4 linked regions of the Stegostoma tigrinum genome follow. The protein of the gene in region 2 interacts with the protein of the main gene of each other region in a pairwise test. Links are inferred from orthologs where the notes say so. Each region holds a gene or a part of one and is shown on either strand. Other genes may lie near its edges. The genes, in order: tufm, arl6ip1, acsf2 and spg21.

What was found.
Region 1: the proteins of arl6ip1 (region 2) and tufm interact in binary tests that used the Homo sapiens proteins (3 or more experiments, as listed by UniProt). The two-hybrid records come from large-scale screens. The link is inferred for Stegostoma tigrinum from reciprocal best matches to the Homo sapiens genes ARL6IP1 and TUFM.
Region 3: the proteins of arl6ip1 (region 2) and acsf2 interact in binary tests that used the Homo sapiens proteins (3 or more experiments, as listed by UniProt). The two-hybrid records come from large-scale screens. The link is inferred for Stegostoma tigrinum from reciprocal best matches to the Homo sapiens genes ARL6IP1 and ACSF2.
Region 4: the proteins of arl6ip1 (region 2) and spg21 interact in binary tests that used the Homo sapiens proteins (3 or more experiments, as listed by UniProt). The two-hybrid records come from large-scale screens. The link is inferred for Stegostoma tigrinum from reciprocal best matches to the Homo sapiens genes ARL6IP1 and SPG21.

Annotation. Positions count from the first base shown.
Region 1 is NC_081403.1:634,106-641,358, forward strand, and holds the start of tufm (elongation factor Tu, mitochondrial), read left to right. Parts: upstream 1-4,239; 5' UTR 4,240-4,287; coding exon 4,288-4,315; intron 4,316-6,609; coding exon 6,610-6,650; intron 6,651-6,991; coding exon 6,992-7,151; intron 7,152-7,253. UniProt on the Homo sapiens protein: GTP hydrolase that promotes the GTP-dependent binding of aminoacyl-tRNA to the A-site of ribosomes during protein biosynthesis. Also plays a role in the regulation of autophagy and innate immunity.
Region 2 is NC_081376.1:54,010,876-54,018,033, reverse strand, and holds the start of arl6ip1 (ADP-ribosylation factor-like protein 6-interacting protein 1), read left to right. Parts: upstream 1-4,155; 5' UTR 4,156-4,223; coding exon 4,224-4,265; intron 4,266-7,158. UniProt on the Homo sapiens protein: Positively regulates SLC1A1/EAAC1-mediated glutamate transport by increasing its affinity for glutamate in a PKC activity-dependent manner.
Region 3 is NC_081375.1:36,164,413-36,172,106, reverse strand, and holds the start of acsf2 (medium-chain acyl-CoA ligase ACSF2, mitochondrial), read left to right. Parts: upstream 1-4,675; 5' UTR 4,676-5,266; coding exon 5,267-5,388; intron 5,389-7,694. UniProt on the Homo sapiens protein: Acyl-CoA synthases catalyze the initial reaction in fatty acid metabolism, by forming a thioester with CoA. Has some preference toward medium-chain substrates. Plays a role in adipocyte differentiation.
Region 4 is NC_081386.1:721,257-728,415, forward strand, and holds the start of spg21 (maspardin), read right to left. Parts: upstream 3,012-7,159; 5' UTR 2,931-3,011; exon of another isoform or gene 2,896-2,930; intron 1-2,895. UniProt on the Homo sapiens protein: May play a role as a negative regulatory factor in CD4-dependent T-cell activation.

The sequences.
Region 1 (7,253 bases), on a different chromosome or scaffold from region 2:
GAGATTAACAGTGTGAGAGGGTCAGTGAGAGGGGAAATGTGAGACAGTGAGAGATTAACAGAATGAGAGAGACAGTGAGAGGGAGAATGTGAGACAATGAGAGATTAACAGAGTGAGAGAGACAGTGAGAGGGAGAATGTGAGACAGTGAGAGATTACCAGAGTGAGAGAGACAGTGAGAGGGAGAATGTGAGACAGTGAGAGATTAACAGAATGAGAGAGACAGTGAGAGGGAGAATGTGAGACAGTGAGAGATTACCAGAGTGAGAGAGACAGTGAGAGGGAGAATGTGAGACAGTGAGAGATTAACAGAGCGCGAGGGACAGTGAGAGATTAACAGTGTGAGAGAGACAGTGAGAGGGAGAATGTGAGACAGTGAGAGATTAACAGAATGAGAGAGACAGTGAGAGATTAACAGTGTGAGAGGGACAGTGAGAGGGAGAATGTGAGACAGTGAGAGATTAACAGAGTGAGAGAGACAGTGAGAGATTAACAGTGTGAGAGGGACAGTGAGAGGGAGAATGTGAGACAGTGAGAGATTAACAGAATGAGAGAGACAGTGAGAGGGAGAATGTGAGACAGTGAGAGATTAACAGAGCGCGAGGGACAGTGCGAGGGTGAATGTGAGACAGTGAGAGATTAACAGAGTGAGAGAGACAGTGAGAGATTAACAGAGTGAGAGGGACAGTGAGAATGAGACTGTGAGATAGTGACAGTGAGAGGGAGAATGTGAGACAGTGATAGAGTATGCTAAGTACTGAGTCACTAGTGACACCATGTGTGAGTAACCACATATTGCCCTGATATTCCAGGAAAGCTGTGTTTAATCATGTCAGCACTTCAGGGTCAGAGCTGATCGATTCACATTTCCACAGCTGCTCATTCAGTAATTCAATGAGATCCAGGAAAGATCCCGAGGATTATGCAGTTATACCACTCAGATATTTCACCCGAAAATAATTAAACTGCCAGACGGTCAGCGCTGAGGGAGCGGGCACTGTTGGAGGGTCAGTGCCAAGGGAGCGGGCACTGTCGGAGGGTCAGCGCTGAGGGAGCGGGCACTGTCGGAGGGTCAGCGCTGAGGGAGCGGGCACTGTCAGAGGGTCAGTGCTGAGGGAGCGGGCACTGTCGGAGGGTCAGTGCTGAGGGAGCGGGCACTGTCAGAGGGTCAGTGCTGAGGGAGCAGGCACTGTCGGAGGGTCAGTGCTGAGGGAGCGGGCACTGTCGGAGGGTCAGTGCTGAGGGAGTGGGCACTGTCGGAGGGTCAGTGCTGAGGGAGCGGGCACTGTCGGAGGGTCAGTGGTGAGGGAGCGGGCACTATCGGAGGGTCAGTGCTGAGGGAGCGGGCACTGTCGGAGGGTCAGTGCTGAGGGAGCGGACACTGTCGGAGGGTCAGTGCTGAGGGAGCGGGCACTGTCGGAGGGTCAGTGCTGAGGGAGCGGGCACTGTCGGAGGGTCAGTGGTGAGGGAGCGGACACTGTCAGAGGGTCAGTGCTGAGGGAGCGGGTGCTGTCAGAGGGTCAGTGCTGAGGGAGCGGGCACTGTCGGAGGGTCAGTGCTGAGGGAGCATCATGATGTTAAGGCACCACTGTGGAATAACAATGTGTGCGGAGCCGTGTCCTTGCCTGATGTGGGACGCCACTCAGTGTGCTAAGTCCTTCCTTGGGCTCTCTCCCTTGTTGCAGTGTCCATTCGGTGGCATCGGATCATTGCAAATGCATCTCGTTCGAGTAATTTGTCGCACATGGTGGCAGCGTTGTCTTCATCAAAAAGTCTCCGAAAGAAAACAGGTGATGAGTGAAAATGTTCCCTGAAAGCTGCCACCCAGGTGGACAGAGTTGTTCCGAAGGCGTCTGGTGCGTTTGCTTTCATTAATAGACGGATTGAGTTCCAGAGCCATGAAGTTACGCTCCAGCTATACAGAACCCTGGTTTGGCCACGTCTGGAGTATCGTGTCCCGTTCTGCTCGCCTCATTACACGGAAGGATGAGGAAGCGTTGGGAAAGGCGCAGAGGAGATTTCCCAGGACGTTGCCTGGGATGGAGGGAAGGTCTCACGAGGAAAGGGTGAGATAGCTCGGGCTTTTCTCTGTAGGACGACAAAGGATGCGAGGCGACTTGATAGAGGTGTACAAAGTGAGCAAAGGTATAGAGTGGGTGGCCAGAGACTTTTTCCTGGGGCGGGGGTAGCTGCGACGAGGGGGGCACAGTTTGAAAGTGAGTTGGGGGGTAGATACAGGGGAGACATCAGTCTTTACTCAGAGGGGGTCGGGGTGTGGAATGCATTGCCGGAGAGGGTAGTGGAGTCGGCCTCATTAGGGGCATTTAAGCGGCTATTAGATAGGCATATGGATGGTAGCATAAGGTAGGGGCGGAGGTTAGATAGACCTTAGGTTTAGGGTCAAAGTTCGGCTCAACCAACGATCTGACGGAGGGCAGACGTTACCCTTGGGTGGGTGGGGGAGTTGCGTTTCTGGGAATTGAAAGAGGGGCAGGAAACGATTGGGAGTGGGCGGGGAGGGGGTGGTGGTGGTGGCGGTGAGGGGCAACACGGTCCATTTCGGACTGAAACGCGGGACGGAAGGATCGTTTGGGCTCTCTTGAGGGCGCCCGGCGAGATCCCGGGGGAAGGCGGAGTGAGGCGAAGAGGCGGGCACGCGAAACGCCGTCCACGCCCAGCCCGTCACACAACGGCTGCTCTATCGCCCACCCCCGTCTTCTTCCTCGACGATTCCTTGAACTGGGGTCCCCGGGTGGGGCGGTGGTGAGGCTTTGGGGAAAGATGGCTGCCCAGAGACAGGGGCGTATATCCTCGCAAAGGGGGTCAAAGGTTGGGGGAGGGTGAAGAATGGGGCTGAGACCCAACGGCCAAGCAGCACACCCCCACCAACGCCGGCGGGCAGAATGGACTCATTCTGCCCCGTTGGCATCTGACTTGGGCGTGGGTGGCGTCACTGTACCATTGGGCGGCACTCATCGGCTGCAGTTGACGGTCCGGGGCACGGGTGCTGAGGTGGGTGTTGACGGTGGCGTAACGGACTTGGGGGCATCCAGGTTGGGGAGGGGGGGGGGGGCTGAGGGTCTGGGCGGAGTTGGGTGCGTTGGGGAGAGAGCGGTGCAAGGCAGGCAGTGCCAAAGGACAACGGTGCACCTTGGTCACAGAATCGCCAAACCTAACCGTTCCCCGCCAACCCTCCCTCATGGAAACCGGTGGAAATGGGAAGGTGGCTGTTTGGTTGGGGGGCGGGGGGGGGGGCGGTCAAGACGCCATGCCGAAATCCCAACCCCCTTTCTCCCCCATCTTCTCCGGCCACTGCCCACACTCTAAAGTTGGCCTCAGGACCTTGGTGAGGGCAGAGGGCATAGGTGGTCCAGGAGGATGAAAGGGGGCGGGGCAAGGTCGGCGGTTGGGGCCGGGGGCGGGGCCCTGGTGACGGTTGGAGTGCGAGGCGGGCCCCCTTGCCAGCGCGCGCGCGGTTGGCGGAGCCCTTGTCGCCATGGAAACCACCCGGGGCACGTGGCCCGTTGGAAGCCTGGAGCGCCACGGAAGCTGCGGAAAGGGGCGGGGCCAGTTCCACTCCCCCCGCAACAACACACAATCCGAGGCCGAGCCCCCGCAAAGGAAGAGATCGGAGGTTGGGGGGGGGGAAGAAACGTCATTGCGGGGCACGTCGGGAGGGAGCGCAGTCGTTGTTGGGCGGGAATGGGCGACGCCATTGGAGGGGCAAGGCGACACCGGGTGAAGCGGTGGTGAACGTCATTGCGGGGCACGTCGTGCGATGAGGTCCAGCGAGGTTGGCTGAGAAGGCTGACGTCACTGCGGGGCGACGTCAGCGGACGGGACAATCGCTGGCTTAAGGGCCGGACAGAGCGACGTCTTGAGGTCACTTCCAGGACTGCCGGAGACGACCAGAACATCAAGATGGCGGCGCTGAGAGTGGGTGCATCAGGTGGGCTGTCAGATCGATAATAGGATGGAGACGGAGACGACGCTCAGACCGACGTTGTACTTTAGATGTGTATTACGGACTAGGCAGAGAACGCAAGCTGGAGAGGGCCGCCTCCGGAGCGGCACTAGAGAGGGGCGTTAGGAGCTAGAGAGCGCGATGGGGGTGAGGGCGGGGCGACGTCGTTGCGGGGCACGTCGGCGGTGGACGGGGCGACGTCCCTGCGGGGCAGGAATGGGGCCAATGGACGGCGCGCTGCCTGGCGTGCGCGGTGACGTTGCGTTGTTGGGTCGGCGGGACGGGGTGAGGTCACTTCCGGAAGCGTGAGCGCAATCACCCAAGATGGCGGCGCTCAGAGTGAGCAGTGGAGGTTGACTCTCAGACATACATTATATCATGGCGGGGGAGGGGGGGGGAGATGGTGTGCGTCTCAATCGATGTTATATTCTAGAGAATAAGTACAGGGATGTGGCGGTTAGGGTGGGATTAGCCAATGGGAAATTGTCCCGTAGTGCCCAGGGATGTGGGGGTTAGGGTGGGATTGGCCGATGGGAAATTGTCCCGTAGTGCCCAGGGATGTGCGGGTTAGGGTGGGATTGGCCGATGGGAAATTGTCCCGTAGTGCCCAGGGATGTGCGGGTTAGGGTGGGATTGGCCGATGGGAAATTGTCCCGTAGTGCCCAGGGATGTGCGGGTTAGGGTGGGGTTGGCCGATGGGAAATTGTCCCGAAGTGCCCAGGGATGTGCGGGTTAGGGTGGGATTGGCCGATGGGAAATTGTCCCGTAGTGCCCAGGGATGTGCGGGTTAGGGTGGGATTGGCCGATGGGAAATTGTCCCGTAGTGCCCAGGGATGTGCGGGTTAGGGTGGGGTTGGCCGATGGGAAATTGTCCCGTAGTGCCCAGGGATGTGGGGGTTAAGGTGGCATTGGCCGATGGGAAATTGTCCCGTAGTGCCCAGGGATGTGGGGGTTAGGGTGGGATTGGCCGATGGGAAATTGTCCCGTAGTGCCCCAGGATGTGCGGGTTAGGGTGGGATTGGCCGATGGGAAATTGTCCCGTAGTGCCCAGGGATGTGCGGGTTAGGGTGGGATTGGCCGATGGGAAATTGTCCCGTAGTGTCCAGGGATGTGCGGGTTAGGGTGGGATTGGCCGTGGGAAATTGTCCCGTAGTGCCCAGGGATGTGCGGGTTAGGGTGGGATTGGCCGATGGGAAATTGTCCCGTAGTGCCCAGGGATGTGCGGGTTAGGGTGGGATTGGCCGATGGGAAATTGTCCCGTAGTGCCCAGGGATGTGCGGGTTAGGGTGGGATTGGCCGATGGGAAATTGTCCCGTAGTGCCCAGGGATGTGCGGGTTAGGGTGGGATTGGCCGATGGGAAATTGTCCCGTAGTGCCCAGGGATGTGCGGGTTCGGGTGGGATTGGCCGATGGGAAATTGTCCCGTAGTGCCCAGGGATGTGCGGGTTAGGGTGGGATTGGCCGATGGGAAATTGTCCCGTAGTGCCCAGGGATGTGCGGGTTAGGGTGGGATTGGCCGATGGGAAATTGTCCCGTAGTGCCCAGGGATGTGCGGGTTAGGGTGGGATTGGCCGATGGGAAATTGTCCCGTAGTGCCCAGGGATGTGCGGGTTAGGGTGGGATTGGCCGATGGGAAATTGTCCCGTAGTGCCTAGGGATGTGGGGGTTAGGGTGGGATTGGCCGATGGGAAATTGTCCCGTAGTGCCCAGGGATGTGCGGGTTAGGGTGGGATTGGCCGATGGGAAATTGTCCCGTAGTGCCCAGGGATGTGCGGGTTAGGGTGGGGTTGGCCGATGGGAAATTGTCCCGTAGTGCCCAGGGATGTGCGGGTTAGGGTGGGATTGGCCGATGGGGAATTGTCCCGTAGTGCCCAGGGATGTGGGGGTTAGGGTGGGACTGGCCGATGGGAAATTGTCCCGTAGTGCCCAGGGATGTGGGGGTTAGGGTGGGATTGGCCGATGGGAAATTGTCCCGTAGTGCCCAGGGATGTGCGGGTTAGGGTGGGACTGGCCGATGGGAAATTGTCCCGTAGTGCCCAGGGATGTGGGGGTTAGGGTGGGATTGGCCGATGGGAAATTGTCCCGTAGTACCCAGGGATGTGCGGGTTAGGGTGGGATTGGCCGTGGGAATTGCGGGGTAACGGGGATAGTAATGACTACGTCTTAGTGCAGTGCTCTTTGGAGGGTCGATGCTGACATGATGGGCTGAACGGCCTGTCTCTGCGCTATTGGGATTCAACACTTCTTTGAACCTACCCAAGGTGAGGGTAGAGTGAGAACGGGACACAGGATCGTGCAGTTACAGATCGCACAAGAGCGTGGGAAGAAAGATGGTTGGGTCAAGTCTTTGAGGAGGACAATCAGAGTGGAAGGCAGCTCCGCAAGAGGTCGGGAGAGGGGCCGAGATGGAGGAATGCAGAGGGGGAAATTACAGGCAGATTAGAAGTCAGTAAAATTAGCAGGAATATGCTGAAAACGATGGGAAATATTCTAGCACCTGTCAGGCAGGGATTGGCGGTGGGGGTTGGCTTTGCTTCAGGGATGTAGGTGGTGAAGTTTGAGCATAGGGAGTGACTGTTGGCGAGGGAGGACGCTGGGGTCTGAGCTGCACCCATCACCATGTTAACCTTTCTCCGTGTTTTCCAGTTCCAAAGAGCTGTATCCGGAGTTTGCTGACCGTTCGAGCGGTGAGTGCTCAATCTGACAGGATACCAGAGCTGTGTATCTAACCCCGTGCTGTCCCAGTCCTTGGGAATGTTTTTGTGGTGGGGGACAGTATAGAGGGAGCTTTACTCTGTATCTAACCCTGTTCTCTCCCAGACCCTGGAAGTGTTTGATGGGGTGGGGAGGGTGGCACAGTGTAGAGAGAGCTTTACGCTGTATCTAATCCCTTGCTGTTCCAGTCCTTGGGAGTGTTTGGGGGGTGGGTGTGAACAGTGTAGAGGGAGCTATACTCGGTATATTCGGGCCTTCTGCCTGTCTGCGTGCAGGCCCTGAGGATTTGCTCTCTGTCTCTGTTGGTTGACAGACCCGGCTCCCCCAGTGCGTCCTGGTGGCCCCTGCCCTATCTCGGAATCTCGCCACTGAGGCCAAGAAGACCTACCAGAGAGAGAAGCCTCACATGAATGTCGGCACCATCGGCCACGTGGACCATGGGAAAACCACACTGACTGCAGCCATCACCAAAGGTAGCGCAGGGGGAGGAGGGAGCGAAAGGGAGAGTGTCGAGGGGGAACTGAGGGAGAGGGGCGTGTGTCGGGGTGAGCCGACACACCGAGACAGAGGGGGAG
Region 2 (7,158 bases):
AAAATAATTTCTCAGCATTATACAGGTTAAATCACACGTGCTTGCCATTATCATTTTGATTGCGGCTTCCTTGCATCTCTTACTAAGTTAAATTAAATGTACTTTTTAAAAAGTTATATTTTGAGAGAATTACAATCTCTCCTCCACCTTGATTTAAAAAAAACTCCTTTTTCCAGTCCCCATCATGAAACTGTCCTCCAGCATGAAAGGCTGCAGTGGACGAGATCTTGCTTGAATTTCTTTGACATATTTTACTTAGCCAGCTGTCAGTAAACAGTAAGCAGTAGAAGCTAATGTTTACTGTTGAGGATTTTGTCCTCTCCCACTAAGGGATTCCCAAACCAAGTGCGGTCATGAATGTGCAAAACTGATGCATGCAGACAATAGATCAAAAACGTCAGTGAAACCTAACTCTGAATTTGAAAAGGAAGTTCGGTTTACTCATTTTGGAACAAATGAGCTGCTGAAACCTCTCTATAACACTTTGCCGTCCTGATAAATGTATAATTGATTGACCGAAAGTTGCACATTTAATTAGGCATCTGGAGCAATGACTAAACTTCAAAAGTACTTCATTGGCTGTAAATCGGTTTAGGATATCCTGAGGTCGTGTAAGGCATATGTAACTGCAAATTCTTTCGTGGAGAAAATTGAATGGGAAATGGTGCGTTTGATATCTGTACTTGAATATGAAATCCTGTTTGTATTATGCACATTGTTTATAAAAACTCAACTAATTGAAATGATAAAATATTGTACTGCTACGATTTACATCCAGGACCGTATTTCCAATAAATTTATTACATTCACAGTGATCCTGGCATCAGCACTATTTTCTGTTTATCCCTGCGCATTCAGAAAATCACTGGTAGGAAGAGAGAAGGTTAAAGTCCAGTTTTGTCCTTCTGAGGGACTGACGTTATTTGCATCAGGTTACAACTCAATATTCTCTTGCACACCACAGAAAAAAAAATTGTAAATTGCCGCTTGGAGTTGGATTATTTTTACTTGTGCTGTTTTACAAGAGTTTTGTTTCCTGTTTTCTGTTTGCGGCAACTTTTCAAAAAACCTGATAAAGGCAGAAACAAGTTTATTTCCTTCCTGAAATTCTGTTGTCTAAATGAAAAAAATAATAGAACACTATAAAATGTTCAAAACATTGAAACAAAAAAAGGATGCAGTTGATGAGATGCATCAGAGATAATGGGAACTGCAGATGCTGGAGAATCCGAGATAAAGTATGGAGCTGGATGAACACAGCAGGCCGAGCAGCAACTTAGGAGCACAAAAGCTGATATTTTGGGTCTAGACCCTTCAGGCCCAAAGTGTCAGTTTTTGAGCTCCTAAACTGTGTTCATCCAGCTCCACACTTTATCAACTGCATCTTAGATAACAGTGTCTTGTAAGAATATGGCTTGGAACATGTACGCATCCTGTTCTGCTAACTATATCTTGGATCTACATGTATAGGTGGAATTGAGTAATGGCTTGCATTTTTAAAGTCATAATATATTGCTGTAGTTAGCATTCTAACCTCAATTTGACATGACTAAACCCCAATATAAGCTTTCACATCTTAACTAGCAGACATTTCAATGCAGTTTTCAAGTTGCCATCCTTTGAAGTTGAGAAGTTTTATTTTCCGTCTGGTTCAGATATGCATTAAAGATAAGATTCCTACTTTATCCTGTGCAGGATCCTCAAACAGGTTAATTTGTTGCTCATCTCATTATTGTCGGCAGAATCTCCATCTAATTGTTGGCCACATTATTTTCTTTTGAGCACTTCAGAATAATTAATGTTTTGTGACATTTTAGATGTGATGGGGTGTAAATATGAATATTTTAAAATGGTTTGATACTAACAGAAGCTCTTGTACACTAATTCCTATTCTTTGGCTGTGAGGAATAGAAAAGACCATTACCATTAGTGTAGTCAGCTATCTTTTTAGTTGTAAAACAAGTTTGTTGTTTTTTATTCATTCACAGGATGAGGGCATTGCTGGCCAGGCAGCATTTATTGCCCATCCCTAGTTGCTCAGAGGGCAGTTCAGAGTCAACCACATTGCTATGGATCTGGAGTCACATGTAAGCCAGATTAGGTAAGGATGGCCGTTTCCTTCCCTAAAGGGCATTTGTGAAACAAATGGGTTTTTCCTGACAATTGACCATGGATTCATGGTCATCATTAGATTCTTAATTCCCGATAGAATTTGAATTCAAATTCATCATCTGAAATGGCAGGATTCAAACCAGAATGTTGTCTGGTCTCTGGATTAACAGTCCAGCCATAATACTACTAAGCCATTCTCCCACTGCTAAATAAATGTTAAATAATATAAACACCATGTTTAAGAAACAGGCAGTTGAGGTATTGATGCATGATGAATGTCTGTCTGTTTGAACACCTAATTCTGACTGATTTTAGTGAATACAGTTGAGTTTATTTCTAAGACAAATAAACTTGTCTAATTCACTCATGGGATGTGGATGTAGCTAACTGGCCAGCATTCAGTTGCTCTTGATATGGTTGTAAGTAAGCAATGTTTTTGAACCACTGCAGACCCTCAATGCCATTAGGGAGGGAATTCCAGGGTTTTGATCTGGTGATAGTGAAGGAGTGGTGATATATTTCCAGGTCAAGATGGTGGGTGGCTTGCAGGGTAACTTGCAATAGTGGTGTTCCCATGTATCTATTGCCTTTCTTTATAAATATCATGTGTTTGGAAGGTGTTGTTAAGGATCTTTGTAGAGACCAGGAGTTGAGTATTGCAAATTTATTCTAAATTAGCAGTTACTCTAATAATTGTTATCCCAAAAAATGTTTTAAGACTTCAGGGAGGAATGTTGTAGGTGTTCAAAATGTTACGCAGCTGGTTAGTTGACCAACTGTACAGGCATGAGAAAACACTGAGCGCAGCAGAGCGAGCAGCTTGACGTTTTGGGTTAAGACCCTGCTTCAGAAATGGGGGAGGGGAAGGGGATTCTGAAAAATAGGGGGAGGTAGATAGAAGATGGATAAAGGAGAAGATCGGGTGAGAGGAGACAGACAGGTCAAAGAGGCAGGGTGAGAGCAAGTGAAGGTGAATGTAGGTTTGGGGGGGGAGGGGGTGGAAATAGGGCTGTCCAGGGAGGATGGACAGGTCATGGGGGTGGAATGAGGGGATTGAGGTGGGAGGAAGGATAGGTTAGAAAGGCGAGGACTAGTTGGGCTGGTTTTGGGATGTGGTTGGGGAGGGGAGATTTTGAAGCTTGTGAAGTCTACATCAATACCCTCAGGCTGCAGGGTCCCCGAGTGGAATATGAGATGCTGTTTTTGTACAGTCACGAGGTTCATTTTGTAACCATTCTCTACGAAGGACGGATTAGAAAACTTCTAAGTGATTCTTGTGGAGTTTACAGAACAGGTCTAAATGAGCAGCCTTAGCTTGAGCAGCATTGGATATGGGAATCCTTGTGTGTAATTTTTTTTTGTAAGAACCGTGCCCTCTTACTATTCTAAAGTTTCATGATCTTCAATGCTCAAATTGTAGTGTTAGTTCACTCTGCTTCTAGAGGGAAGGAAAGAAAATCATGCAAACAACAGCGCTGCACGTGCTGTGGGCCTGTTGACCTATAATGGTGACTACCTGTGTACATGAACACGGTCGCCATCACTGTTGCTAAGAGAATATCTGTGGCTGGATTTCTTGCAGAGACTGTCCTGTACCCACTGCACTTCATGTGGGTTGACTCATACCTGATGGTTTGTATCTTAACCTTTTATAGGAAGCAGAGAGAGATAAGGTATAGATTGGTAGAAGCCTTCCAACTATTCAGATGTTTTGGAAAACTAAACCCCAGTTGCCTTGACTCCTATTCATATAAAATCAGGCCGCCTCTACCTAGCCTTAGGAGTGGGAAATTATTGTAGCCTCTTCAGGAATTTAGGTGCAGGGACTAGTTTGGGCTAGGGGAAGGGGGCGGGGTCTCCTCAGCGGTGGGCGGGCAAGGGGCGTGGCTCCTTGTCCTGTAGGCGGGGTTCGGTCGGCGGTGGGCGTTTCCTGTCCAGGGGACATTCGATCACCGTGAGCAGTGCCACGGCCGGCCAATCAGGCGTGTGGGTACGGCCGGAATTGGTCCAATCAGCAATGCCGCCTGCAGTATCACGTGTGGAGATGCACCATTAGGGTGGGAGCAACCGCGCATGCGCAATAAACGGGCGTCGAGAAGGATCGAGTGGCGATGGCGAGTGGGGACGGAGACAATAAAAGCACCAACCTCCTGGTGAGGGAACTCCACAGCACCACTGTCCCCGCGATGGGGTGGGGGAAACAACATAACTATACCCCGTTATGGGGGCGGGGTGGGGGGTGGCGCGGCCAGACTTCTCCAACACACGTACACCCAGTAGCGCGGGAGAGATGGGCTGGGCTGGGTATGGTGACCGGGGGCTGAGGAGGGGTGGGGTGTGTTGGGGGTATTTGGGATGGGGAGTGTTGGGGGTATTTGGGGTGAGGAGTGGTGGGGGAGGGAGTTGGGGGTATTTGGGGTGAGGAGTGGTGGGGGAGGGAGTTGGGGGTATTTGGGGTGAGGAGTGGTGGGGGAGGGAGTTGGGGGTATTTGGGGTGAGGAGTGGTGGGGGAGAGGGTTGGGGGTATTTGGGGTGAGGAGTGGTGGGGGAGAGGGTTGGGGGTATTTGGGGTGAGGAGTGGTGGGGGAGAGGGTTGGGGGTATTTGGGGTGAGGAGTGGTGGGGGAGAGGGTTGGGGGTATTTGGGGTGAGGAGTGGTGGGGGAGAGGGTTGGGGGTATTTGGGGTGAGGAGTGGTGGGGGAGGGGGTTGGGGGTATTTGGGGTGAGGAGGTTGGGGGTATTTGGGGTGGGGAGTGGTGGGGGAGGGGGTTGGGGGTATTTGGGGAGGGGGTTGGGGGTATTTGGGGTGGGGGAGGGGGATGGGGGTATTTGGGGTGGGGAGTGGTGGGGGAGGGGGTTGGGGGTATTTGGGGTGGGGAGTGGTGGGGGAGGGAGTTGGGGGTATTTGGGGTGAGGAGTGGTGTGGGAGAGGGTTGGGGGTATTTGGGGTGAGGAGTGGTGGGGGAGAGGGTTGGGGGTATTTGGGGTGAGGAGTGGTGGGGGAGAGGGTTGGGGGTATTTGGGGTGAGGAGTGGTGGGGGAGAGGGTTGGGGGTATTTGGGGTGAGGAGTGGTGGGGGAGAGGGTTGGGGGTATTTGGGGTGAGGAGTGGTGGGGGAGAGGGTTGGGGGTATTTGGGGTGAGGAGTGGTGGGGGAGAGGGTTGGGGGTATTTGGGGTGAGGAGTGGTGGGGGAGGGGGTTGGGGGTATTTGGGGTGAGGGGGTTGGGGGTATTTGGGGTGGGGAGTGGTGGGGGAGGGGGTTGGGGGTATTTGGGGTGGGGGAGGGGGTTGGGGGTATTTGGGAGGGGGATGGGAGTATTTGGGGTGGGGAGTGGTGGGGGAGGGGTATTTGGGGTGGGGAGTGGTGGGGGAGGGGGGGTGGGGGTATTTGGGGTGGGGAGTGGTGGGGGAGGGGGGTGGGGAGTGGTGGGGGAGGGGGGTGGGGAGTGGTGGGGGAGGGGGGTGGGGAGTGGTGGGGGAGGGGGGTTGGGGGTATTTGGGGTGGGGAGTGGTGGGGGAGGGGGGTGGGGAGGGGGTTGGGGGTATTTGGGGTGGGGAGTGGTGGGGGAGGGGGGTGGGGAGGGGGTTGGGGGTATTTGGGGTGGGGAGTGGTGGGGGAGGGGGGTGGGGAGGGGGTTGGGGGTATTTAGGGTGGGGAGTGGTGGGGGTTGGGGGTATTTGGGGTAGGGAGTGGTGGGGGAGGGGGTTGGGGGTATTTGGGGTAGGGAGGGGGTTGGGGGTATTTGGGGTGGGGAGGGGGTTGGGGAGGGGGTTGGGGGTATTTGGGGTGGGGAGTGGTGGGGGAGGGGGTTGGGGGTATTTGGGGTGGGGAGTGGTGGGGGGAGGGGGGTGGGGAGTGGTGGGGGAGGGGGGTGGGGAGTGGTGTGGGAGGGGGGGTGGGGAGTGGTGGGGGAGGGGGTTGGGGGTATTTGGGGTGGGGAGTGGTGGGGGAGGGGGTTGGGGGTATTTGGGGTGGGGAGTGGTGGGGGAGGGGGTTGGGGGTATTTGGGGTGGGGAGTGGTGGGGGAGGGGGTTGGGGGTATTTGGGGTGAGGAGTGGTGGGGGAGGGGGTTGGGGGTATTTGGGGTGGGGAGTGGTGGGGGAAGGGGTTGGGGGTATTCCAGGGGAGGGGTTTGTTAGTACTTGGGGTGTGGAGGGCGTGGGGTGGTGGTGGCCAGAGTTTCGGAATTGTATTTGGGACCATGCTTTGTGCAGGGGCCAGTAATGCGGCGATAATGGCTGTTTTCTTTCTGACTTAGAAGAATTGAAAATGCTGTCATTGTATCACATCATTCACAATGTCTTCATGTCACAAAACCTCTCATAGCTTGTTTGACGTGTCACCTCTTGTCTTAATAAAAAGTTACATTCATCTTGAGCAGGTTTTGTCACCCTGTCAACTCAATTGATTGGTTTATCCCTCTCTCTCTCTCGTTTTCGGTCTTGAGCCACAACCTGAGTCTAGGTCAACTCCTCTATCTAGTATGTAGTTTTCCACCTCTGCAATTTGACCTTTTCTGGCTTTCATTTAAGTTTTTGTGAGCTGAAGCCCTCATTCATGTTTGTGGTACATAAAACTCCCAGTGAAACTCACCAGTTCCATCCTGCAGAAATCTGCACTCATCCAAACCCTACAACCTGATTCCTGGCATGTACTAAATTCAACTCGCCCATTGCTCACTGGCGGTTCCTGACTGATAAAGCTTTCACTTCAAAATTTTCACCCTTCTGTTTAATTTCTACTGTGACTTCTCCCCACTCAGGAAACATGGCATCCACAACATTTCCTTTGCCCTTTGAGAATTCCCTTCCTAAATCTTTCCTGTTGTAGTATTTTCTGTAAAGCCTACCTCTGACCAAGATTTTGTCTTCTGTCTTAGTATTTCCTGCCCAATAAAATCCGTTGTCAGAGTGGCTATTTTATTGGTTTCTTGGTTTTGCAAAAACGTTTGCTTTTAACCATCACATTCCTCTGTTTTTGGGGGAACAGATTTGGAACTGGCAGTCGCTGACAGTGTTTGCTGGGAAGATTCTTTGACTGGTAT
Region 3 (7,694 bases), on a different chromosome or scaffold from region 2:
CAAGACAGCTTTTGAGCAGCAAAGGAGAAGTGAGAGAGAAATATGATTATTTAGACAAGAACCTGGAACTCCCTGTTATTCCTAAACTTGAAGTCAGTACCCAGCAAAAAACCAACTTGGGAAAACAACCGGTCACCTAGGAAGTCAAAGATCTACAAACTTTGTCACTACTGAAGAAGCAAGACAAGAACGAGTTAGCATTCAGGTCATTCTCACAACTCAAGGACTCTGAGCACTTTAAAGTGAAATTGCCATTACTTCCTGTCCATACCTCAACTTCCTTTTTAAACTTATTACCTGAGTATTTTAGGTGTTTGATGTTTCATTTTTAATATTTTATGGGGGTCAGTGGGTAATAAAATTCCTCTTTATCCCACTCAAGTAAACTTTGCAATTTATATCCAATTTATTCCTAGAGGGCCTATCTGGCCATCAAGCCTTGTTGTAAATACAGTTAAATACATGTTAGAGATCCACCATGGAGATGCTCATCATTCTGAAGCTGTTTTGTTCCCACCCTTGCCATAGATCGGTTCACTACTGAGCCAATGGGCAGCAACACAGAAAAGAAATGGCACCTGTCTGTGTGTTGCAGTAGGTTAGTGCATTTGGCTGTAACCAGAAGGTTGGTGGTTTGAAACCATCTAGAGACCAAGGACCTCCTTACTTTGGGATGTCATGGTGACTTAGTGGTTAACACAGCAGCCCCTCAGCACCAGGGACCACAGTTTGTGCCACTTTCAGGTGACTGTGGGGAGTTTGCACATTCTCCCCATGTCTTGCATGGGCTCCTTCTACAGTCCAAAGATGTACAGGCTAGGTGGATCAGCCATGAGAAATGCAGAGTGACAGGAATGGCGGTGGGGGGGGGGGGGGCGGTGTAGGCTTGGGTGGGATGCTCTTTGGAGGATTCAATGGGCCAAATGGCCTGTTTCCACACTGTAGGGATTCTATGTATAAATAACTTCTTTTTGGAAGAGCAGCAAATATCCTTATCTTCAATGAGCTTGAGGAGGACACTGGGAACAATGGTAAGCCTGCTGCTGTGTGGGGGAGACTGTAAAGGACAGCATACCCGGTAGGTGGGTGAGAAGAACAGGCTGTGATGTGATAACTGGTTCAGGGGATAAGACTCTGAGATGGTGATGGAAATGGAGGAGAAGGTTCTGAGATAGTGAAGGAGATGGGGTAGAAAGATTTAAGATGGTGAGGGAGATGGGGGAGAAGACTCTGAGATGCTAAGTGGTTTACGGAAGGAGGGTCCAGGATAGCAAACAGGTTGTGAGATGACAGCACTCTCCCTTTCATTGAAGCATTGATGCCCTGAAAGGCTGCAGTCAAGGTGGTGGAGCAGGCCTGTTGATCACTTGGCAGCATTTATATGGGAATGAAGGAGCGTGAGTAGGCGAGTTAATGTCAGAGTGGTTAAGTGAGTATGTATTGGAATTAGAAAAAGCTTGTATGGGGAATGGGAGTGTACGGATATGGGACAGTGTCGGTTTAGGACCAAGGGTGCACGTTTGTGTGCATGAGGATTGAATGCAGGCATGTGTGTTTTTGTGTGGGAGAAACAGAGTGGAGGGGTGAATGTGTGTGTTTCTGCGTGTATGTGGGGAGTGGGAGAGTTTCTATGAACCTTGAGACTGAGGAAGCCAAACACAAATTCACTTTTCTCCTCCTCTTCATTCCTCAAAACCAATCTGCAAAGCAGCATGGGTGTGCAGGAATACCCTGGCCGAAAGACAAGATGCTTCTAACACTTCTCCCCCACTCAACCCCCACTTCTATATGAATTGTACCAAGGCCAGCTCAGAGTGTGTGTTGCCAGACATGAAAGCAAGATCAGTGTTAGTTAAATCCGAGTCAACTTGGCCTCAATGCCTACCCACAGCTTTGGGTGATCAGGACTTGCAACCTAGTCCAGCTTTAGCTCTGTTTCTTAACCAAGGTGGTTAAAAAAAACTTGTATTTGCCGCTGACACATTTTAATGGCAATTTTATGAGTTACTAATTTACTTAAATGATTAATTTATTTCTTTGGAATTTTAAAAAATTCATACCCCTTATTGTGCCAAACCTTATGTTTATATTTGCTCACTGCACTTCCAATCACAGTCCCCATTAAAGAGAAAGAGAAGTTGAAATGTGCCACACCCCTAGTGCAAGGGATAGAGTATTCACTGTTGTCACATGTACTCCAGCAGAGGAGTACATGAGTACAGTGAAAAGTTTTAACAATGGCACCATCTTAGGTAGAAGTAGCTAGGTATAAATGTTGGATACAAAACAGGAATAAAAGGAAAAGTAATAGCATTACTTACAGTGTCTAAAAAAAAGTTAGAAGTAGAATAGTTACAACAAAGTTAAAGGATTGACATTACAGTCCGGTAAAGAATTTCAGATCAATGTTACATTGCAGCAGCTCAACAAGCACGTGGTCTGATCGCCCACGCCAGGCCCCTGACCAACAACAGTCCCACTCCACTCCAAGTCTCCAGCTGCTCCACCAGACACTCAGCTACACCAAGGTAAGTTGCGCTGCTCCTGGACTGGCTTTTCTTCTCGCAGATCTCCAGGACTCATTTTCCCTCGAGTTGTTCCAGGCCAAGCTTCCTCTCATGATGTTTTGAGACACACTTTCCCTTGTGCTGTTCTGGGGACTACTGCCCCAATCACTGCTCCAGGAGCGTTAAAAGGAGAGAAGAAAATAGTAACAAAAGAAAAAGAACAGGCGGAGTAGAGAGGGTCTGCATGGAGAGTGTTACTCTGTCACCATCTTCCCGGAAGGAGCTTAGATAACTCTGCTTTGCAAGGTGCTTTGTTCTGTATCAAAACAGTATTGTACCTGCTTCATTATTTAATGTGGAAGTGTGGAAGAAGTTTTACTGTACGTTGAATTTATACTGTACCTTCACCGGGAGCATTTGGTGGGGACAGTGGTATAAAAACTGAACATTACAAGACAATTATGTGTTTTAAAATGTCTTCTCCAAGCACTTTGGCTCAGAGAAATGCCATTGTGATCCAGTCACCATCAGGAGAAAAGCCCATTGACGTGGAATGGCTGTTTTAACACCTTTCACTAGAACAGCTACTATGAATTGGAAAGAAAAAGTATGGAGCCAGAAAGGTCGTTGCTGCTGTTCTGTCAGAAATATTGAGGAATAGGAACAAATAACAATGTGATAACAGTTTTGTCGGAGCTGGCTAAACAACTTTAAAGGGTCAAATCTGGGAATCTCTAGACCTTCTGGTCTGTGATGATCTGCTGGAGAGACATATCCAATGAAGTGTACCTGTTGGTGATAATTATAATCTGTGAGATCCCAGGCAGAATGGAATGATTGTTGAAGAACACTACAAACTCAGCCTAGTATGGCTCCTTTGAAGAGCTGGAGGTGACTTTGGGATAGTTCTTTTAATGATGCATATCTATCAGAAGCATGATGTTGAACAAAAGTGTTTGATAATATATATTCTGGTTGTCTTAGTTGGTAAATACAAAACATACAGTTTTCTTTAGTTTGGTGCATTAGTTATGTATAGGTTAGGGCTTGATCTATGTAGATTATATTTTGTTACAGTAAAAGTCTTAAAAGGTGAGATCTTGTCCTTTGTTATATTTCTATTATTTGTTTGGAAAATTCAATCCTTTAAAAAAGTTACAGGCCTCAATGGGGTTGTAAAATTGTACAGGAAGCATTATTTTGTACGCAACGCATGCTGTACCTGCCCTGGGAGTATTGGTGGGGACAGTATAGAAAGGAGTTTTACTCTGAATCTATGCCTAGCTGCATCTCCCCTCAGAGCATTCACAGGGACAGTGTTCTCAGCAATTTATTCTGCAACTCACTTGCACTGTGTTTGATGGGGAAAATGTATTAACAGTTGAATTACTGTTAGTTCATTGATTCCAGCTAAATTATCTGGATAGATATGGTTATTAAGTGACAGCATCAACACAGATTAGAAATTCAGATTTATGGTTGGGAACAGCTTTTAAAATTAGGAAGGTAATTTTGAATCTGATTTATCCCTCTTATTGTCTTTATGTGCGCCCTGCCTGCATGGTTATCTCCTTGGAAACAAAACAACAAAAGCATCCAGATGCTGCATGGTTGCCTCCTTGGAAACAAAATAACAAAAACATCCAGATGCTGGAAATCTGAAACAAAAACAGAAAGTGCAGGAGAAACTCTGCTTTCTCTGAACAGATGCTCGAAAACCTGCTGAGTTAACGTTTCTCATCCAGTGATCCTTCATGCTTGGACAATCCCGTGTTTGTATTAAATGTTCGAGCCCTGGTAATTTCTGAAAACAAAATAGATCAAATGCCTGGATCTTCACCTTTTCACATTATGTCAAATACAGATTTGCAGGGAAATTCTATCCTTAAATCACACCCCATTGTATACACCATCCACCACATCCCCAGTCTTTTCAAAGTGTTTTGCTTTTTGAAACTCTGGTATTCCACAATGAGACTAACTGGACAGTTATTTCAAAGACAAAAAGAAACAAAAATCGCTGATGAAACTCAGCAGGCTGTTGACTGGAGGGTTCGTTTGTGATGCAGAGTAAAATCCCCGCACAGACTAGGGTCAGTTGGGTTGACGTTGGTTTGTGATGCAGAGTAACGCCTGCAGCGTGGGTTCAACCCAAACAACGTCGCCTGATGTTGAGGAAGTGAGATATTTCACAACAGCTGGCAGAAACACGATGGGCTGAACAGTTCAGTTTCTTTCTTTAATGCTGTATGATTGCAGATGTCGGGTGCTGTGGTGTGATTTCAGTGGGGAATTTCTGATACTATAAACGGCTGTAGTGGGCAGAGTCACTTCTGGCCTGGCGCTGCATTCCGGTCTGATTACCCGAGTTTGCCTGTTTACTCCCGCACACCTCCTCTAAAGAGATTGAACCCTACCCCTGACCATAGGGTCAAAGAACAAGCTGCCCTCAGTGTTCAGCAAAGTTGCAGTGTCTCGTTTGCCCCCAATGATGTGTTTAAACGCTGGGCTTTCTTTCTGCTGCATTGGCGAATTCTTTCTGGGACCTCTGGAACAGACTTTGACAGCGGATACCACACACTGAATGGTCGGCAGAACCGTCCATCTTTCATTTTGAGCAACTGTTGCGCTGACATTGGACGGGAAGGAACTTCTAATCTGGTTTTAGTGTGGGTTGCGGAAGTGTAAAAGTTCAGTTAGAAGTGTGTTAAGAGGGAGCCCTCGGAGTTATCGCCGTTTTCTACACTGTATTTGTAATAATGGGCTTCGCGTTCGGGCTGAGGAGTTGTGCCGGCCCCTGGAACCGGAGCTGGCGGCTCTTCCCGGAAGATTTCTGGAAAGGCTACAGTAGCAGTGGGACAAAAACACTTGCCCCATACAGGTAAAGGCTGCCGCTGGCTGTAACTAAGCTTCGGGGATCAGAGTGTCTTCGGTCATTTAACAGAATGTCTTCGGTTGTGGAAATGAGAGAAATGACTCATTCACTTCGTTTGTGTCTCCCCCAAGCATTCTGTTCTAGGATCTCTTCTGTGACTGGGAGGTTTTTGTTGTCAAACACTCATCGCCGGGTCTTGTGGTTATTTCGGCACAGATGGCTGTGCATATTAGCATCTGTCAGCGTATTTTAAATAGTCTCATTCTCTCGTGTGAGAGGTAGAATATTGGCTGCCAGTCTGTGAATTGATAGGAGTATTTTGTTTTGACAACATTCGAAGACATTCAACGTTAACTCCGTTTTTCCATGGAGAGATGCTGTCAGACCTGCTGAGTTTCTTCAGCATTTTCTATTTTTATTTCAGTTTTCCAGCATCTGTAGTATTTTGCTTTTATAATAAGGGTGGTGTCTCATTAAAGTAAAAGCTAGGATGTTGAGGTGCCGGTGTTGGACTGGGACTGACAAAGTCAGAAGTCACACAAAGCCAGGCTATAGTCCAACATAAGAGAACACGGAGTGAAGCTGGATGAACACAGCAGGCCAAGCAGCATCAGAGGAGCAGGAAAGTTTGACGTTTCGGGTCGAGACGGAAACATTTTTTTGAAGAAGGGTCTCAATCCGAAACGTCAAACTTTCCTGCTCCTCTGATGCTGCTTGGCCTGCAGTGTTCATCCAGCTCTACACTGTGTTATCTCAGATTCTCCAGCATCGGCAGTTCCTATATCTCGATAGTCCAACGTTTATTTGAAATCACAGGATTTCAAAGCGCTGCTCCTTAGTCAGGTGAATGGAGTGAAGTGCGCAGGCACATAATTTATATACAGTGACCGCTCAAGGATAGACTTCCTGTTTGTGTCACGGGCCTTCTCGGTCAGGTCCACTGGCGTCGAGCCGGTGTTCTTCTCTGACCACTGCCTCCTGTTGGCCGACTGTCACTTACAGGACGACCAGCCGGCCGGCAAGGGGACGTGGAAGCTCAACACGACTCTGTTGACCCCAGAGAACATCGAGGAGCTTGAGAAGGAGTACGTTGGTTGGAGAACTGTGAAACCCCTCTTTGAGTCTCCGGGCGACGGGAGACGGTGAAGGAGAACATCAAGAGGTTCTTTGTCCTCAAGGGTGTTCGGAAGGCGAGAGAGAGGTGGAGAAAGCTGTCGCGACTCCAGAAAAGGGTGCAGAACCTGCTCCTTCTGCAGATGATGGGGCTCGATGTCACGGAGGACCTCCGCGAGGTGAGGGGCCAGCAAGCCTCGCTCTTCGCCGCGGAGGCCTCCAGGATAATCTTCCGGTCCAGGGTCCACTCCGTGGAGCAGGACAAGATGTGCTCGCGTTTCTTCTTTCAGAAGGTGCACAAAGAGAGCTCTGTGCTTAGCCGGCTGAAGGAGGATGATGGCTCGGTGACGTCGTCTCGGCCCGACATTTTGAGGATCTGCAGATCCTTCTATGCCGGACTGTACGACACGAAGCCCACAGACAGCACGGCCTCCAAGCCGTTCCTGCCGTCTATTTCGGAGGTCTTAGACAACGGCACGAGGGAGTGGCTGGACCGGCCGATATCCCTGGATGAGCTACCAGAGCCCTCAAGTCCTTGGAGAGGAATAAGACTCCCGGGAGCGACGGCTTACTGGTCGAGCTGTATTCCACTCTGTGGGACCTGGTCGGCCAGAACCTGCTGGAGGTGTACGATAGTGCGCTTCGGGCAGGGGAAATGTGCAAGTCCACGAGGAAGGGCATCATCACCCTCATTTACAAGAGGAAGGGGGAGAGGGAAGAAATTAAGAATTGGCGTCCCATTTCACTATTGAACGTGGACTACAAAATCCTGGCCAAGGTCATAGCCAACCGGGTCAGGTCTGTCCTGGAGTCGGTGAATCACCCCGACCAAACCTGTGCTGTGCCGGGCAGGAAGATCGCTGAGAGCCTCGCGCTCATCAGGGATACGATCGCCTACGTGCAGGACAGGCGGGTGGACACCTGGCTTGTCAGCCTGGACCAGGAGAAGGCCTTCGACAGGGTCTCTCATGCTTACATGAGGGATGTCCTCTCCAAATTGGGGTTCGGGGAGGGCATCCGCAATTGGATCCGGCTGCTCTACACAAACATCGTTAGCGCAGTCTCGATCATTGGGTAGGAATTGGACAGTTTTCCCATCAGATCTGGATTCAGGCAGGGCTGCCCGCTCTCTCCTGCCTTGTTCGTGTGCTGTGTGGAGCCCTTCGCCCCATCCATCAGGAAGGACGTGAGCCTGAAGG
Region 4 (7,159 bases), on a different chromosome or scaffold from region 2:
GGTCTCTCAAACAAAAACACGGGCACTTAAAAGACTGAAATGGAAGAATAGCAAAATCCAACCGAAAAGCTGAATTGTCTGGCACCCAAACAAGGCCAGATGCCAGATTTAAAATATTAGCATTGAGTACAACGATGACTAATCCCAAGGTGTAAGGTGTCATTCAGGTGAACAGAATATTCAAACAACGTGTGTACTGAACGAGCTGCCAGAAGAAGTGGTAGAGGAGAGTACAATAACTTTTAAAAGACATTTGAATAGGGGAGGTCGACAGATATGGGACTATATCAGTTTCGGAAATCCGGTCAGTGTGGATGAGTTGGGCCAAAGGGTCTGTTCCATGATAGATGACTCTATGGCATGACTGATTGAAATTAAAGATGAAGGGTTGTGTTATGAAGCTTACATCATTAGGAGATACTAGAAACATGAAAACTGCCATTTGTGATACTTACTGAAATCTCTGTTGGGCTTTCTTGTGAAAAAGTAAAATGTTGCCTTTTAGTTTGGGAAGCCAGAAGGATACTAAAGTGGCAGATATTCTCACACTTGCTGAGATCAATATGGCATTTTACCTCAAGAAAATATTGGAAGAAATTCCAAGAAAGAAACTTGGCAGTCATATCCTTTGAGTACTATATCAACAATAAATCCTTGAGATATAAGCTTAAAGTATGAATGAAAACACACAATTGAAGACCTATATTCAGCATTCTGAAGGAGGATCACTGGACCAGAAACATTAACTTTGTTATTTTCTCTCCACAGATGCTGCAGACCTGTTTATCCAGTAGATTTTTATTTTCTTGAGGATATATATTGCAGTTTCAAAATAAATACTGAAGAATGGAGAAATCGCCATAGTGACTAATCATAAAGATAAGGTATAGGGTATAATTGGTCCATTTGGCCCATCGAGGCAACTCTGCCATTTAATCATAGCTGAAGTGTTTCTCAACCCTGTTCTTCTGCCTTTTCCCAATGATCTCTCATTCCCTTATCAATCGAGAAACCTATCCAGCTCCACCTTAAACACACTCAATGACTTGGCCACCATAGCATCCTACAGCAATGAATTTCACAGATTCATGATCCTTTGACTAAATAAATTCCTCCTCATCTCAGTCATCCCTTCACTCTGAGGCTATGCGCTCAGCTCCTAGTCTCACTGAGAAGTGGAAACATGTTCACCGTGTCCACTGTATCCAGGCCTCTTCATATTCCCTAGGTTTTAAAATCAGATCACCCCTCATTCCTCAAAACTCCAAGTTCAGGTCCAGAGACCCCACCCACTCCTTACATGACAAGCTCTCCATCCCCAGCAAAATTCTTGCAAATTTCCATCTTTGCCATACGCATCCATCCTTCGACACAGAGCCCAAAACTGGTCAGTGTTCCAAATGAGGCCTGACCAGTGATTGGTACTGCTGAGGATATAGATCTGCTCTTCTATTCCTAACTTTCTTCAAATGAGTACTGACATATTGCATTTGGAGATAGCAAGAACTGCAGATGCTGGAGTCAGAGACAACATAGTATGGAGCTGGAGGAACACAGCAGGTCAGGCAGCAGAGGAGCAGGAAAGTTGATGTTTCAGGTTCAGGCCCTTCTTCAGAACTTGGGGGGGGCATGGGGTGACGTGGAGGAGGGGGGGGGGGGGAGAAGAGAAGTGGAGAAGGGAGTAGGGAGTAGGGAGCTGGGAAATAAGTCGGGGGGGTGTGGCCACTTGCTCCTCAAGCAAGTGTGTAGTGTCATTGTGTCACTGGTGGCAGCCCAGGAAAGACATGTCATCATAGGAGTGGGACTGGAAGGTGGAATTAAAGTGGTTAGCAGCCAGGTATTGTCACTTTGGGAGCCTACAGCTCAATGACCTTAACACAGAATTAGCCAGTTTAAAATCTCCCCAACACACATCTAAACCTCCTGCTCATCCCTGCCTCCTTGACCTGACATAACTTGTCCATCTTCTTCCCCACCTATCTGCCCTACCCTTTCCACTGACCAATCCCCACCAGCCCTACCTACAGCCACCTATAACCATCCCACCTACCTTCCCCCAGCCCCATCCCTCCTCCCTCTATTCCTAACTCCCTTCCCAGTTCTGAAGGAGGGTCTCGGCTCAAAACGTCGACTAAAAATTTTCTTTTAGGAAAGGACTCCAGAACCACGGCAATGCTGTTGACTCAAGAGATCCATTCATATCACAACTCAAACTAAATGAACAAGTTTAGTCATATTGCATGTGCAGTTCTCCAGCAATACCATCATTATAAAAGCATTAGTCAATCATTTTGTATGACGAATGCCAGATTTCAACTTTGTTGATTCCGAATACGCCGTACCAAGGAAGTGTCCGAAAAGTTCGTGAAACGCTTTATCTACATTATCCTTGAGCACCAGGCTTTTCTAAATTCCGATGATTATTACAAATGAATTTCTGTGAAGGTCCTGTAGAATTTTCCACCTTAGTGCAATATTTTCTTAAGAGGTTTACAAACCAGATGCAAAGGTGACTTTGACATCATCATTTCTCATTTTTACCCAAAACGGTTTCTACAGCTTAGGTTATCCCTCTTAACTAATGACAGTTCAAGCAAAACAGAACCACTTATCTACCCTTCCCTAGCTTCTCGTAAAACAAAAAAAAATCACATCTCAATTCTGTTTATAAACGGGGTTTTGAGTCACAGGTGGTAGCAGTTCCCGCACACTACATTCTTCTAGATTGACACTTTCCCCACAAACACTGCCCAGGACACCCCAAGTGCTTGACAAACAAAAGTAACCTACTCCATGAACAATAGCTCACCCCGCAGCCCTCCCTATTTCCGCTTCTCCACAAACACGGGCACATCTTATTACACCCACCACTCAACAAACACAAATAACTCTTACCACAAATACAGTTCCAACCGCGCCCCCCCCTTTACCTTTAAACTCAACTGCAACCGGAAATCATTGTCCCGTGATGAGCCCGCTACGCATCCGGGTCACAAACATGGGAGGAGCTTCCAATCGGTGGGCGGGGTGTTCAAGGCGTAAATGCGTCTTTTGCGGCGAAGGTGGGGCGATAAAGGGGTGTGTCCTTTGCGCAGTGTGCGGGGTGACGTAACTGGAGCAGGCTCACTGTGCCCAGTGGGCGGGGCGAGCGATAAGGCGGGGTGTTCGTTGTTCGTGGGCTGGGCGGGGCGGGGCGGGGCGGGGCGGGGCAAAAAAGTGGGTGTGCTCCTTGACGTGGTGGGCGGGGTTTTGTGCACGGTGGGTGGGGCAAGTGGAAGCTGCTTGACTGCGCAGCTACTCAGTTCAAAAAAATCTTTTTTCGATTCAACATGTTCAGACATGGTATTACACATTTTTTTTAGAGGTGGGACTTCCTGGCTCAAAAGTATGGACACTACCACTGAATCACAAGAGCCCTTAGAAAGTTTTTATTTTGTGTTTTACAGCTTGTAAGGGCGATATTCTGTTTTAAATTTCTCAAGGGAAGAAGACTCCTAAAGTAATTGATTAAATAAAGGTTTAAATCATGGGGGTAAGTCGGCAAGAGAGCTTAATATATGGTTTGCTCTAGTTCCTCCTGTACGTGGGTAGCTAACCATGTTTCCCAAGATTAGAGGCTGTCCTTGACCACTGAAGTGTTCGCCGACTGGGAGGGAATATTCCTGTCTGGCAATTGTTGCGCAGTGTCCATTCATCCATTGTTGTAGCGTCTGCATGGTCTCCTCAACATGCATTAGGACATCCTTGCCTATAACGTATGAGGTAGACAGCGTTGGCTGAGTCACATGAATATTTGCTGTGTACGTAGTGGGTGGTGTTCCCACGTTTGATGGTAGTGTCCATGTCGATGATCTGGCATGTCTTGCAGAGCACATGTCATGGCAGAGCTGTGTGGTGTTGTGGTCGATGTCGCCCTGAAAGCTGGGTAGTTTGCTGTGAACGATGGTGTGTTTAATTTTTGGCAATTGTTTGAAGGTGAGAAGTGGAGGCATATGGATGATCTTGGCAAGATGTTTGTCATCATCACTGACATGTTGAAGGCTGCTAGAACCATGGCGTACTTTCTCCACTTTGGCGAAGTACTGCATGATGAAGGGTACTCTGTTGGTTGTGTCTAATGGTTTCTCATTGTGGCATTTTGAAACTGGCAATCGATGAGTTGAGAGTTGTATCTCATTCTTATGAGGCTGTCCTTCAAAATCTTTAGGTGTCCATTGCATTCCTCCTTGTCTGAGCAGATCTTGTGTATATGCAGGGCTTGTCCCGAGGGGATAGCTTCCTTAACATGTTTAAGGTGGAAGCCAGACATGTACGGCATTGTGAAGTTATCTGTTGGGCTTGCGGTAGAGTGAGGTACTGAGGTGTCTGTCAAAGAACAAAGAAAATTACAGCACAGGAACAGGCCCTTCAGCCCTCCAAGCCTGCGCTGATTCAGATCCTGTCGTCTATTTTCCAAGAATCTGTATCCCTCTGCTCCCTGCCCATTCATGGATCTGTCGAGATACATCTTAAATGACACTATCGTGCCTGCCTCTACCACCTCCACAGGCAACACATTCTAGGCACCCACCACCTTCTGCGTAAAGAACTTTCCACGCATATCTCAATAAACTTTTTGCCTCTCACCTTGAAATCGTGACCCCTAGTAATTGAGTCTCCCACTGTGGGAAAAAACTTCTTGCCACCCATCCTGTCTATACTTCTCATGATTTTGTAGACCTCAATCAAGTCCCCCCTCAACCTCCGTCTTTCTAATTAAATAATCCTGATCTACTCAACCTCTCTTCATAGCTAGCGCCCTCCATACCAGGCAACATCCTGGTGAACCTCCTCTGCACCCTCTCCAAAGCATTTTGGTTATGTGGCGACCAGAACTGTATGCAGTATTCCAAATGTGGTTGAACCAAAGTCCTGTACAACTGTAACATAACCTGCTAAATCTTGTACTCAATACCCCGTCCGATGAATGGAAGCATGCCGTATGCCTTCTTGACCACTCTATTGACCTGCCGTGCCACCTTCAGGGTATAATGGACCTGAACACTCACTCTGTGCATCAATTTTCCCCAGGGCTCTTCATTTATAAATAATTTTCTCTTGAATTGTATTTTCCAAAATGCATCACCTCGCTTTTGCCTGGATTGAATTCCATCTGCCATTTCTCCGCCCAACTCTCCAATCTATCTATATTATGCTGCATTCTCCGACAGTCCCCTTCACTATCTGCTACTCCACCAATCTTGGTGTCATCTGCAAACTTGCTAATCAGACCATCTGTACCTTCCTCCAGATCATTTATGTATACCACAAACAACAGTGGTCCCAACACGGATCCCCGTGGAACACCACTGGTCACAGTTCTCCATTTTGAGAAACTCCCTTCCACTACAACTCTCTGCATCCTGTTGCCTAGCCAGTTATCTATCCACGGCCCGGTGGCTCAGTAGTTAGCACTGCAGCCTCACAGCGCCAGGGATCCGTGTTCAATTCCAGCCTTGGGCAACTGTCTGTGCAGAGTTTGCACATTCTCCCCATGTCTGCGCGGGTTTCCTCCGGGTGCTTCGGTTTAGTAAAAATTAGCTTAGTAATAGGAGATAGAGAGTTTTGCTGAAGTGTAAGTGGTGCCTAGTGTGCAGTGGTGTACCACAGGGATCAGTGCTGTGTCCCTTCTCGTTTGCGGTATTCATAAATTATGCAGACGAAAATGTGAGAGGGATTATTGAATACCAGATATATATCATAGAATCATCATAGCATACCTAGAGCATGAAAGCAGGCCATTCAGCCCATCAGGTCCACACTGACCCTCCAAAGAACATCCCACCTAGATTCACACTCCTCCCTGTAACCCTGCATTTCCCATGGCTAACCCACCTAGCCTGCAAATCCCTGGACACAGTGGGGCAATTTAGAATGGCCAATCTACCTGACCTGCACACCTCTGGACTGTGGGAGGAACCCAGAGTGCCTGGAGAGAATCCACACAGGCACAGGGAGAACGCGCAAACTCCAAGTCTGGAATCGAACCCGGGTGCCTATTTAACATATATTACTGATTATAACCACACTCCTATTATAGACAATGACTTGTTTGGTTTTGTGAGTAAAGTCACAAGGACTTTAGTTTAGAGACTTTAAAAAAATTAACTGAGAAAAGATGACTAAGTAAATTAGAACATATTTAACAGAGGAATAATACCAGAATCCCAGGGTAAGTCTCTTTAGTTCTGAAAATCTACTCACCTGCTAAAAACTAAATTGATGTATTTAGTTTTAATTCAAAACAGTACCACAATCGGTAAAATGTAAGATAAATCAATTTATTTTAGCCTGCTACCATTTGTTACTAAGAAACCAATCCAATGCCTTATCACTAAAAGAAATACTGAGCGGAGGAAAACTAAATTGATTCTGGAATTCAGAACATGGTGTCATGGGGGGCAGTTTGATGAATCTGGGCTGATAGAACACATCATATGAACTAGACAGGAATTTCACTTTGATAACAAAGTGTGAAGCTGGATGAACACAGCAGGCCAAGCAGCATCTCAGGAGCACAAAAGCTGATGTTTCGGGCCTAGACCCTTCATCCTTCAGGAGCACAAAAGCTGACGTTTCGGGCCTAGACCCTGGACACTGTTCAGAAATGTGTGGAAATACAGCAATCCTGACCTCTAATAAACTATAAGAACACTAAAAATGAAATTCAGATAAGATGAGAGCTTCCCTGTTATAGTCAATATTAGTTAACTGTGCCTAGCATAAGTCCAAACTGCTTCTGCTTCCCCCATTTCTCCCTTCCCCCTCAAATAAAAGGATGAAATAAACATGAGACTTTGACCTCATGACCTCCTAGTTTTTAAATCAAATCATCACAATCAACTCCAGGCAATAGTAGACCCATTGTTTTGAATATTTAGTTTAAGATGGCATTTGCTGATAGGATTATGATGATTTCAAATTAAAAGGATATCAATAAGATAAAGTGTTGGATTTAATTTTTTGCTTCTCAAAGAAAATGTGATTTGAACAGATAGTAGTAAGGACAATGAGATAAGTTCGCAAAAGGGAATGGAATGGTTCCAGGTATGAAAAGTCTTCAATTGTTAGGTAGATTTGAAGATGTTGTAACTGTTCTCTTTGGGACAAGGCTGAAAGG